Linked DNA regions of Arabidopsis thaliana. The protein of the gene in region 1 interacts with the protein of each later gene in a pairwise test. Each region holds a gene or a part of one and is shown in the gene's direction. Other genes may lie near its edges. The genes, in order: NAC089, DGD2 and KEA1.

Evidence for each region.
Region 2: the proteins of NAC089 (region 1) and DGD2 interact in a two-hybrid assay, tested with the Arabidopsis thaliana proteins (one large-scale study listed by BioGRID).
Region 3: the proteins of NAC089 (region 1) and KEA1 interact in a protein complementation assay, tested with the Arabidopsis thaliana proteins (one large-scale study listed by BioGRID).

Annotation. Positions count from the first base shown.
Region 1 is NC_003076.8:7,376,024-7,379,776, reverse strand, and holds the start of NAC089 (NAC domain containing protein 89), read left to right. Parts: upstream 1-2,000; 5' UTR 2,001-2,278; coding exon 2,279-2,480; exon of another isoform or gene 2,481-2,660; coding exon 2,661-2,914; intron 2,915-3,080; coding exon 3,081-3,311; intron 3,312-3,397; coding exon 3,398-3,733; 3' UTR 3,734-3,753. Other genes in the region: NIT4 (nitrilase 4), read right to left, coding at 1-132, 214-376. UniProt on the Arabidopsis thaliana protein: Transcription factor involved in plant cell division.
Region 2 is NC_003075.7:238,980-242,732, reverse strand, and holds the start of DGD2 (digalactosyl diacylglycerol deficient 2), read left to right. Parts: upstream 1-2,153; 5' UTR 2,154-2,495; intron 2,496-2,521; exon of another isoform or gene 2,522-2,694; 5' UTR 2,695-2,713; coding exon 2,714-3,001; intron 3,002-3,171; coding exon 3,172-3,438; intron 3,439-3,618; coding exon 3,619-3,753. Other genes in the region: AT4G00560 (NAD(P)-binding Rossmann-fold superfamily protein), read left to right, coding at 466-702, 831-990, 1,087-1,274, 1,363-1,486, 1,578-1,708, 1,780-1,935. UniProt on the Arabidopsis thaliana protein: Involved in the synthesis of diacylglycerol galactolipids that are specifically found in thylakoid membranes. Specific for alpha-glycosidic linkages.
Region 3 is NC_003070.9:282,542-286,294, forward strand, and holds the start of KEA1 (K+ efflux antiporter 1), read left to right. Parts: upstream 1-1,808; 5' UTR 1,809-2,094; exon of another isoform or gene 2,095-2,180; 5' UTR 2,181-2,239; coding exon 2,240-3,753. Other genes in the region: PLIM2b (GATA type zinc finger transcription factor family protein), read left to right, coding at 378-512, 591-690, 773-795, 903-992, 1,272-1,541. UniProt on the Arabidopsis thaliana protein: Electroneutral K(+)/H(+) efflux antiporter involved in chloroplastic K(+) homeostasis and osmotic adjustment, especially during plastid division and thylakoid membrane formation.

The DNA of each region.
Region 1 (3,753 bases):
CTTTAGCGGTACGAGAACCAATAGCCAATTCAAAGGTAGAGCCACGTGGATATCCACCGATGAAAGCCTCCGGGAACACCACTAGCTGAGATCCATTCTCCGCTGCCTCAGAAAGCAGTCTCTCTGCCTTATCTGACAAAATTTCGTGGATAAGGCATCGAAAGCGATCTCACCAACCATAGTGAATCAAAAATCGAGAAAACAGGAACGAACCTAGCGTGGCGGGAGTATCGTAGAAGACTGTAGAGGCTTGGACGACTGTAGCTCGTACGATGGAGGAGGAATCGCCGGCGGACATGTCAATCTCAGGGAAGATTTGATGGCCGTTGGTCTGTGGAGCCGCCGTCATGTGAGACGTTTCTTGTTGCATGGACATGAGAGAATCAGAGAAAGAGAGAGATTCCTTTTTTTTTTGTCAAAGAAGAAAGATTCCAATTGTGTTGTATCTTGTTTACTTGGTTGGTGTGTGTTTAACTTTGATATTATCGTGTATTTTATAAACTCTCTCTTTTTGTGTGTCGATTCTTTTTTAGTGAAGGGAAAAATGGGTTTAAAAAATCCTCATTTTCTCTAAAAACATTTACAATAACCATCACCTATATTGGTATTTATATGCATGCATATTGTACGATGGAGGAAGAATCGCAAGTGTATACGTCAACCACGGGAAAGATTTGATCGATGTTGACCGGAGGAGCCGCCGTGACTAGAGACATTTATTGGTGACTGGTCAGTTTGTCACCAATAAGATATATAGAGGAAATGAGTGATTCTAGTAGTAGTATCTTCTTGATGGGCTTGGTTGGTAGGTGTTTACTTGTACAACACATGATATATATTTTGATTTTTACTCTCTTTTTAACTGTAGGGGGAAATGCCAAAATGTGTAAAAAAATCCTCATTTTTTTCTAAAATCATCACCTATATTTATAGATTTTTTACAAAATTCAAAAGATAAAATACCCCCTCGATAACAAACCAACCTTAAAAACCAAACAAAGCGTTTGTTTATATATTTTGGTTGTTACTTGTTAGCATTCAATATTAATTATTGTTTACTTTTCGAAGGTATGAGGATTAGAAGATTAGATGTTTATCTCTTTTCTTAGTTTTAGACTTGATCTATATCCTTGGATGGTGTTATAAAAGGTATCGAACTCTTTCACGTATCATTAGCTTTTGACTAAAATATTGTTGAAGAGTTCTATTTTTTAGTTCAAAGGCCTATGAAAGGAGGATTTTTAATTCTAAAGAGTTTTGGTATGAAAAAACTCTTAAATCATATTATCGTTATCGATCATTGTTGATCTTGACAAAATATAAATTTGTTGCTGAAATAATTTGGAGAATTTCTTGTTATGATTGTTTATAGTTTCCGTTCATCATCAACTTTAAACTTTTAATTGTACGAGAAACTTTCAAAGTAATTTTTGGATTCACATCACCAAAAAAATTAACAGAACAGAGTTAACCACGTTAATATCACTTTAGTTTTTTTACAAATAATGATTTGAGTATAATTTGATCGTAATTTGTAACCCCATTTCATCATGGAAACAACAATAAAGTTCACTCATACATTTCGTTTTCCCTGTCGTACCTTGACACAGAAACATAGTCCACAGATTTTACTACTAATACTATTTCGAAGACGTACGAGGTTTTACGGAGGGAGATTTGCGAAAATTCACCTTTCTTGTTTAGCTTTTTTGAACATGAGTTTTTGATTAAACTTAACTATATGGAAAGTCTTGTGGAGCAGTTGAAATCCATCAAGAAGGATAAGTTTTCTTGTAATGATAAGTGGTTAACCCTTAAGCTTCAAATCAACAAAAACTTTGAGGTAACGCTTGTTGATTACGAGATCCTGAACAAGATATTTTGGGATATATAATTGTGAGCGATTGATCGATAGTAAGATTTCGGATATATATTGGGACTTTATCTGAAAACACTAAACAATAAGTCGTAAATTGGGAGTACGTAAAAACATTAAGGGTCTAAATGAAATAAAACCTATAATATAACTAGGTTTAGTGACGTGGCATGCACACGTAGATTAAGCAATGCCTTGGCAACACGTATGCAAAAACCCATATGTGTGCACCTGTGAAGTGTTCCAATAACAATTCAAAAGCTCCCTGAGCAAGTGAGAAGAGACCACACTGAGAAGAAAAATCCTTCAGGTTATCGAAAATTCCCGGATTTTACTCTTTGGGCGGTGGCCGATTTCTTACGCGCTCTTTTTGTGGCGACTGTTGTATACGCGCGAGCCTTCATGGACACGAAGGCGGTTGGAGTTTCTAAGGATACGGCGGCGTCGATGGAAGCGTCGACGGTGTTTCCTGGGTTTAAATTCTCGCCGACGGATGTGGAGTTGATTTCGTATTACCTGAAGCGGAAGATGGATGGCTTGGAGAGGTCCGTTGAGGTTATACCGGACCTTGAGATTTACAATTTCGAGCCTTGGGATTTACCCGGTTTGTCTTCGAATTCGAACCAATTGATTCTTTTGTGTCTTTCTTCTACTTGGAATTTGATTTTGTTGTTCTTCAGGCTTCAGGAGAGATCTCTATTTTGGGTGCCTAAGATATAAAGTTTCTATTTTTTGGCTCTTGGATTGGAATTGACAATTTTTTTTGTGTGTTTGTTCTTTGCAGATAAGTCGATTGTGAAATCTGATAGCGAGTGGTTCTTCTTCTGTGCGCGTGGGAAAAAGTATCCACATGGTTCACAGAACAGGAGAGCAACGAAGATGGGATACTGGAAAGCAACTGGGAAAGAGCGTGATGTGAAGTCTGGTTCTGAGGTCATTGGAACAAAGAGGACGCTTGTTTTCCATATTGGTCGTGCACCAAAAGGCGAAAGAACTGACTGGATTATGCACGAGTACTGCGTGAAAGGAGTATCTCTGGTAAAACTGTTCTCGAGAGTTTGTTTTTTCTTATAGATTAATTGTTAACCATTACATAAGAGGTGGTGACTTTGGCTACTTTTTGAGTCTCTAAGAGGAATACAGTAAAATTTTAGGAGTTTTGTCTTTGGCTTGAGTTGATTGATTATGTTTATGTAAATTCTAGGATGATGCTATGGTTGTTTGCCGGGTTAGGAGGAACAAAGAATACAATAGTGGTACAAGTCAGAAGGCACCAAAGCCAAATTCATCAGCCGAGAAGCATGCGAAAGTCCAAAATGGCGCTACGAGTTCAGGGAGCCCGTCTGATTGGGACAACTTGGTTGATTTTTACCTAGCAGGTGAATCAGGGGAGAAACTACTCGCTGAGATGGCAGAGTCATCAGAAAATCTACAGGTTTTGTCACCTGGCTTCTAATTGTTGTATGATGGTTCTTGATTGTTGTCGTTCTTCTTAATGAATGTTATGTGTGTGTGGTTTAGGTGGATAATGACGAGGATTTCTTTGCGGATATCCTAAGAGACGAAATCATCAATCTCGATGAAGCGGTGATGACAGGGAACACACCAAACGAAGTGCCAACACTAGAATCAGCATCAATGGAGATAAGGGTACTTCCTTTACCAAACATGATAGACAAACAAATGTCATCACTGTTAGAGGAAAGACCATCACAGAAGAAGAAAGGAAAAGACGCCACGGAATCATTGTCGAGCTGCTTCGTGGGTTTATACTCGATCAAATCAGTGAACAAGGCACGATGGGATGTTATTATAGGTGTAGTGGCTCTGATAGCAATGTTGTTTTATCTAGAATAAGAGGCTTATGGAAGTAGCGA
Region 2 (3,753 bases), on another chromosome or scaffold:
CATTCTTTTTTTCTTCAAAATGTGATATGTTTTAAGAAAAACAATGCCAAAAAGAGGGCTTAAGAACAAGAACAGGGTTAGTTCTAGGTCAACCTGTACTTTTCCTTTTTTTTTTTGGACATTTTTCCAACTTCTTACGATTATTTCTGATGATAATGATTACAACTTTATATACTGTTTTGGCAATAATAAGCCAATAATGATATCTTTCTTCTACATTTTCCTGCTTTACCATTTTTGTTCTGATACCAAAAGGTTTAAATGGTTTCGAGATTCAACCAACTTTGAAGAGTTGTTAATGCAGTTGCAGAAGCATGTTAACCGAAAATCATTCCAAACCGGAGAATATCAACTCGAACCAGAATACCAAACCGGAAATTCCAACAGTGATCGTGCTATGTTTAAGTTAAAATTTAAATTAAGCAAACACCGGAGAGTGATTGGATCGGGGAATTTGGGAAAAGTATGGAGAAGAAGACGAAAGTGCTAATTGTGGGAGGTACTGGATACTTGGGTCAGCATCTTCTTCAAGCTTTCGCCGGCAACTATGGCGGTGAATGTGAGCTATACGACGTCGCTTTCACTCACCATTCTTCTCCACTTCCCGCTCGTTTGCTCGACGCTTTCCCTCATTCCCCCGCGTTTCCTGTCGATCTTAAATCCGGTCTAGGGCTCAATTCCATATCCCAGGACTTTCGTCAGGTTCCGATTTCGTAATCTCTAGCTCGATTAATGTTCTTTCCTCTAGGAATTGCTTGGTAAATGAACATGTGAATCTGTGTATTAGACTCTCTGGTCTGAAAAGCAACACTTTGTTCCATTGATTATAGCCTGATGTGGTCGTGAATTGTGCTGCTCTGTCTGTCCCACGAGCTTGCGAGCAAGATCCAGATTCCGCCATGTCCATCAACGTACCTACTTCTCTTGTAAACTGGTTATCAAGTTTTGAGACTAACAAAACCTTGTTGATTCATCTCTCTACTGATCAAGGTTAGTTGCCAATTGCATTAGCCACTGTTATAGTGTTAATCTCATCATGAGTCATGACTTATGCTTTTGCACTTGGTTTTCATGTCTCAATTTCAGTTTATCAAGGTGTCAAGTCTTTCTACAAGGAAGAAGATGAGACTGTTGCAGTCAACGTTTATGGGAAATCAAAAGTTGCAGCAGAGCTTCTCATCAAGGATAAGTGTCAAAGCTTTGCAATATTGAGAAGTAGTATCATCTTTGGTCCTCAAACTGTATCACCTCTCCCCAAGACTCTCCCAATTCAGGTGCTTCTTAACACAATTTCTCAGAGATATATATACACACTTGAGTTCATTGAGTTAGCCATGAAACTGGTCGTCTTTTATGTTTTAGTGGATTGATAGCTCCTTAAAGAAAGGGGACACGGTAGACTTCTTCCATGACGAGTTTCGTTGCCCCATTTACGTTAAGGATCTTGTGAATATCACTTTCAAATTAATAGACAGATGGGTCTCTGGTAGATTCTTTTTTACTGAGTTTCATTCTCTCGCTCTGCATCATTGTACATAAAATGTAGAATCATAACAACATGTTGTTGCTGCTTTCAGATGATAAACAGATGCGGCTAGTTCTGAATGCTGGTGGACCCGAGAGGCTATCTCGTGTTCAAATGGCTCAAATGGTTGCAGAAGTCAGAGGATACGACCTGTCCTTGATTAAACATGTGTCTGCATCATCGGTATGTATGAGGCTTTCACAAATGAATCTCACTTGTTGAATATTGCAGATCAGTCACTTAATGAGTCTCAGCTATTTTGTCAGATTGATCGTGGCGTAGTGTCACCAGCAGATATATCTATGGACATAACTAAACTGATTCATACACTTGAGCTCTCTCCAACTTCTTTCAAGGAAGGTGTTAGGTTAACGCTTGACTCTGAATCTCATTCTCATATGCTCCCATGATAGTATTCCCTTATGTGCTCTTCTTTACCACTCTGCTTCTTTCTATGGAGAAAAATCTCGGTTTGAGAAAACCAATGTAAAACGGTTGATATGGTTTCGGAATTAAGGTTTGGTTTTCAATCAATAATTGTGGGATTGAAACGGCACACAGTTTGAGTAAGCAATGGGCTTGTCAATAATTGGGCCTACCCTATAACACTGGTCAAAGCCCGGCGTTCTTAACTTTGAAAGTGAAACTTGATGATGTTTAAATGTAAAAGAAACGACACGTAGTCTAGACACGCAAAGTCGTTTTTAGATTCTTCTTCGTTCTAGACTTGGCGGAAAAAGAATGTTGGAGATTGGAGGATCCTGCGAAGACCAACCAGTCTGTTAATTTTGTATAAACAATGAAACGAAGAAGATCTTCCGAGAATATTCTCTCCTTCTCACGCATACCCTAGAATATTGTTTCGTCTCTCTTCCTTCTACGTTTGCTTATTTGCCCCAACTCGACGCGAATCATCAGCTTTTATAAATTCTGTCAACTCAAAGATTGTTTCTGAATTGGAATCTTACAGGTATGGCTTCATTTTTTTTTTTTTTTTTTTTTTTTGATGTAATCGAAAATCGCTTGAATCGTGTGAAAAGATTGTTTGAATTTGCAGAAAAATTAAGAATTTGTAGTCGAATGTTATCCTTATTGGGAAGATGCAATAATCAGATCAAACTCAATTACAAGAATCTATTGGTTTACTCTTTTTGTTTGATAATTTGTAGAGGTTTAGCTTGAGATGATATGACTAATCAGCAGGAGCAACACATTGCGATATTTACAACAGCTAGTATTCCATGGCTTACGGGAACTGCTGTTAATCCTCTCTTCCGTGCTGCCTACCTTGCAAATGATGGGGAAAGACGGGTCACGTTGGTGATTCCATGGCTGACTTTGAAGCACCAAAAGCTTGTCTACCCAAATAGCATCACTTTTAGTTCCCCGTCAGAGCAAGAAGCTTATGTCCGCCAGTGGCTTGAGGAGAGAGTCTCTTTTCGTTTAGCCTTTGAGATACGTTTCTATCCTGGAAAGGTATGACTCTCAAGAATCTTCTTTTGGGTACCAAACACATACTGCTTCCTTTCATAGAGTCGATTGTTTCATTTCCGTGTGATATAGAGTTGAATTCTTCCATTTCTTTTACGTAGTACTCTGTGACTGTGTTGTGCCAACCTTAGCAATTCAAATTTATCTTATGGCAGTTTGCTATTGACAAAAGGAGTATTCTTCCTGTTGGGGATATATCTGATGCCATTCCTGATGAAGAGGCAGACATTGCTGTCCTCGAGGAGCCTGAGCATCTCACATGGTTTCATCATGGCCAAAAATGGAAAACTAAGTTCAACTACGTCATAGGAATCGTACACACTAACTACTTGGAATACGTTAAAAGAGAGAAACAAGGCCGTGTCAAAGCATTTTTCCTCAAATACTTAAATAGTTGGGTTGTTGGCATTTACTGCCACAAGGTAAACTTCTTTCTTCTTTACAGCCACTAGGACATGATAGAGTGATTGCTCAATTATGTGAATATATCCAATGGCTGGGTTTAATTTGAGAATCAAGACAGTTTGTTGGAATGTGACCACAATTATGGCCGGTCCTTTTGATGTGAATCAGGACTTGTACCAATGATGTTACTCCTGCAGGTAATCAGGTTATCTGCTGCGACTCAAGAATACCCTAAATCTATAGTCTGCAATGTTCATGGCGTCAACCCTAAATTTCTCGAAATTGGGTTGAGAAAACTAGAACAGCAGAAGCTCCAGGAGCAGCCCTTCACT
Region 3 (3,753 bases), on another chromosome or scaffold:
TTATTGGATTGAAATTGTCAGAAACCACAACCCTTCTTTTGCTCAACTCCAATCACTTTGCCACCCAATTTTATCTCATTCATTTTGCAAAAAAGATCAAAGAGAGAGAGAGAGAGAGAGAGAAAGAAAAAAAGGAAAAAACCTTCCTCCGTTACAACCTCACAATTGCAACAAAGTTTCATATAAAAGAGGACAGAAATTTCGCAGGTTCCTCCGTTGTCTGAGGTAAAGGTTTCCTTCTTTAACTAATTCCTCAGATGACCTCTTGATTTGTTGGAAAAAAAATTAAAAAATCTGTTTCATACAGGATCTTGGAGAAGGAAGGAAACAACAACAACCAAAAAAAAACCAAAAAAAAAAAAGATAAAACAAAAAAAATGTCTTTCACAGGAACTCTCGACAAATGCAATGTTTGTGATAAGACAGTCTATGTGGTGGACATGTTGTCCATTGAAGGAATGCCTTACCACAAGTCTTGCTTCAGGTGTACCCATTGCAAAGGAACCCTTCAGGTGCACTCATTACTCATTTTCTTGTTAGATCTTCTATGATCATATTATATCAACAATTTATCTATGTGTTGATGGCAGATGAGCAACTATTCCTCCATGGACGGAGTTTTGTACTGCAAGACTCATTTTGAGCAACTCTTCAAGGAATCTGGCAATTTCAGCAAAAACTTTCAACCAGGTTCGTATTATAAAATCTCTGACATCGAATCTCTCTATCTTTCAAATCATCATGATCATAACAAGTCTCTTTCTTTTCTCAGGAAAAACTGAGAAGCCAGAGCTGGTAGGTTCATCATTACATGTCCTTGTATATGATTAGCGTGTCAATATTTCATTTTCTTTCTTTTATGATCGACTAATAGGATCTGTGTACTGATTTAAACATTACAGACTAGGACTCCCAGCAAGATATCTTCCATCTTCTGTGGAACACAAGACAAGTGTGCCGCTTGCGAAAAAACTGTTTACCCTCTTGAAAAGGTTAGTGGTATACGCATCTGCAAATGTTCTCATGGCCTAAAATACCAACGAACTAGTCTCGTAGAGAAATTTATTTGCTCTAGAATTTGTTTTTTGTTTTTTCATTTCCGTAGAATTTTTCTGTTCGGATAAAATCATTACTAGATCAAATGGAAATAAAATTTTGATTTTGGTTTGGTTTAGTATACTTTTGGTTCGATTTGAGAACGTGATGTTGGTTGGTCCAAGCAAATGTGGAATCAATTTTGGCTTGGTTCTAATCGGGTTATTTGGTAACAGATACAAATGGAAGGAGAATGCTTCCACAAGACATGTTTCCGGTGCGCTCACGGTGGGTGTACGCTGACTCACTCCTCCTACGCCTCCTTAGATAGCGTTCTCTATTGCCGACATCACTTTAACCAACTCTTCATGGAGAAAGGAAACTACGCTCACGTCCTCCAAGCCGCCAATCACCGTCGCACAGCCTCAGGCAACACTCTTCCACCGGAACCTACCGAAGACGTCGCCGTGGAGGCCAAGGAAGAGAATGGCGTTTCAGAGTCTTGAATATCTCTTACATGAGTGTTTTTGAGTGAATGATTGAATGAATGTTGTTGCGGGGGAAAGATTTGATTTCATTTGTAATGAGTTGTTTCCATATGAAGACATGATTTTTTTTGTTATTTTTTTAATTCATTCGTTATACATTTATTATTACACACGAAAAAAAGGCAAGAATTGATGTTTTTTCACTCTATGTGTGCTGCTTATGATATGCTTTCCGATGGTGATGATGATATTCGATGTAATATCTGTTCGGTTCAAAGATACCAAACTACTTATATACCGGATCAAACCAAGTGGTTATCGGGTGATGTGAATCATTCATTATTTCGTTAGGTGAGAGAGGGTGTTTTCGTAAAAGTATCTAAAAACGGCCTTAGCAATGATGTCTGGTTGGCGAGAAACTCAAAAAGGAGGAGACAGAGAAAGTTGTTTGACTGGGAAAATTTGAAGAGACGAGCCAAAATTATCTGTTTGAAACGAACGGAATTGAAGACGAGAGCCACTCCTTTCCGTTTCCACCTTTCTTCCATTCTTACTCAACTTTCCATGATTGGTTAGCCTCTCTATCTGTCCGTGGCTTGTCGTTGATTTTTTTTATCTTGGTCGTCTGAATGTGTGGAATTTCGTTTTGCTTCACAGGAGTTGTATATAAGGTTCGAGGAATAAAGTAAGGCTACTTTTTTTATTTGATTTCCGATATGGAGTATGCGTCTACTTTTCAAAGGCCGATTCTATTCCATGGTGGAGATGGTGCGAGTTACTGCTTTCCAAATCGATTGATAAGTCCTAAAGGAATCAGCATTACATCTGGGGATTCTAAAGTGCATTCGTGTTTTCGATTGAGGAGAAATGTAGCACAAAGTGGTACATTGAATTTGATGAATGCGTGTTTCTCTGGAAGGTTTTATAGTGGTCATTTGCATTCTACAAAATCAATACTTGGCAATGGCCACCAAGCCAAAAGAATCCCTTTTGGATTTAGGTTACGTTGTCAGGGTCATGAATCTCTGGGTAATGCCGATAGTAATGATCATCGGATCGGGGAATCTTCCGAAAGTAGTGATGAAACTGAAGCTACAGATTTGAAAGATGCGAGAGTGGAAAACGACACTGATAGTTTGGAGGAACTCAAGGAGTTACTACACAAGGCAATTAAAGAATTGGAAGTTGCTAGGCTCAATAGTACCATGTTTGAGGAAAAGGCTCAGAGAATCTCAGAAAGAGCCATAGCACTCAAGGATGAAGCTGCTACTGCTTGGCTTGACGTAAACAAAACCCTTGATGTCATTCGAGATACTGTTTATGAGGAGGCTCTTGCTAAAGAAGCTGTTCAAACGGCTACTATGGCCCTGTCTCTGGCTGAAGCTAGGCTTCAGGTTATAGTGGAATCACTTGAAGCTGGTGCAGGGAATGATATTCCACATGTGTCTGAAGAGACTGAGGAAACAATAGATGTTAATGATAAAGAAGAAGCTCTTTTAGCTGCCAAGGATGATATTAAAGAATGCCAAGTTAATTTAGATAATTGTGAGTCCCAACTGAGTGCTTTGCTGAGCAAAAAAGACGAGCTGCAAAAGGAAGTGGACAAGTTGAATGAGTTCGCTGAGACAATACAGATCAGTTCGTTGAAAGCCGAGGAGGATGTTACCAATATTATGAAATTGGCTGAACAAGCTGTAGCATTTGAGCTTGAGGCTACTCAACGCGTTAATGATGCAGAGATTGCTTTACAGAGAGCAGAGAAGTCTCTCTCCATTTCTCAGACCCCAGAGGAAACTCAGGGCCAACTCTCGGATGAAGAAACTTCTCAGGAGGATGCGATGGTACTTTCAGGTAACGTTGAAGATGTTACCCATCAGGTTGAAAAAGAATCACCTAAAGATGGAGATCTACCAGTGGTACAGATCACAGCTGAACTTGTGCCTGATATAGTTGGTCAGAGGAATAAAAAACTAACTCAGCCTTATGAGTCAAGCGATCATGAGAATGGAAAGCCAAGTGTAGAGTCTTCTAAAGTGGTTGAAGCAGATTCTGAAAAGCCAAAGATTAATGTTCAGACAAAAAAACAGGAAACTCAAAAAGATCTGCCAAAGGAGGGTTCCTCTCTTAATTCTCCCAAGGCATCGTTTAATAAATCCTCCCGTTTCTTTTCTGCATCTTTCTTCTCTTCTAATCCAGATGGGACCGCGACAGTGTTTGGTAGTCTGGTTGG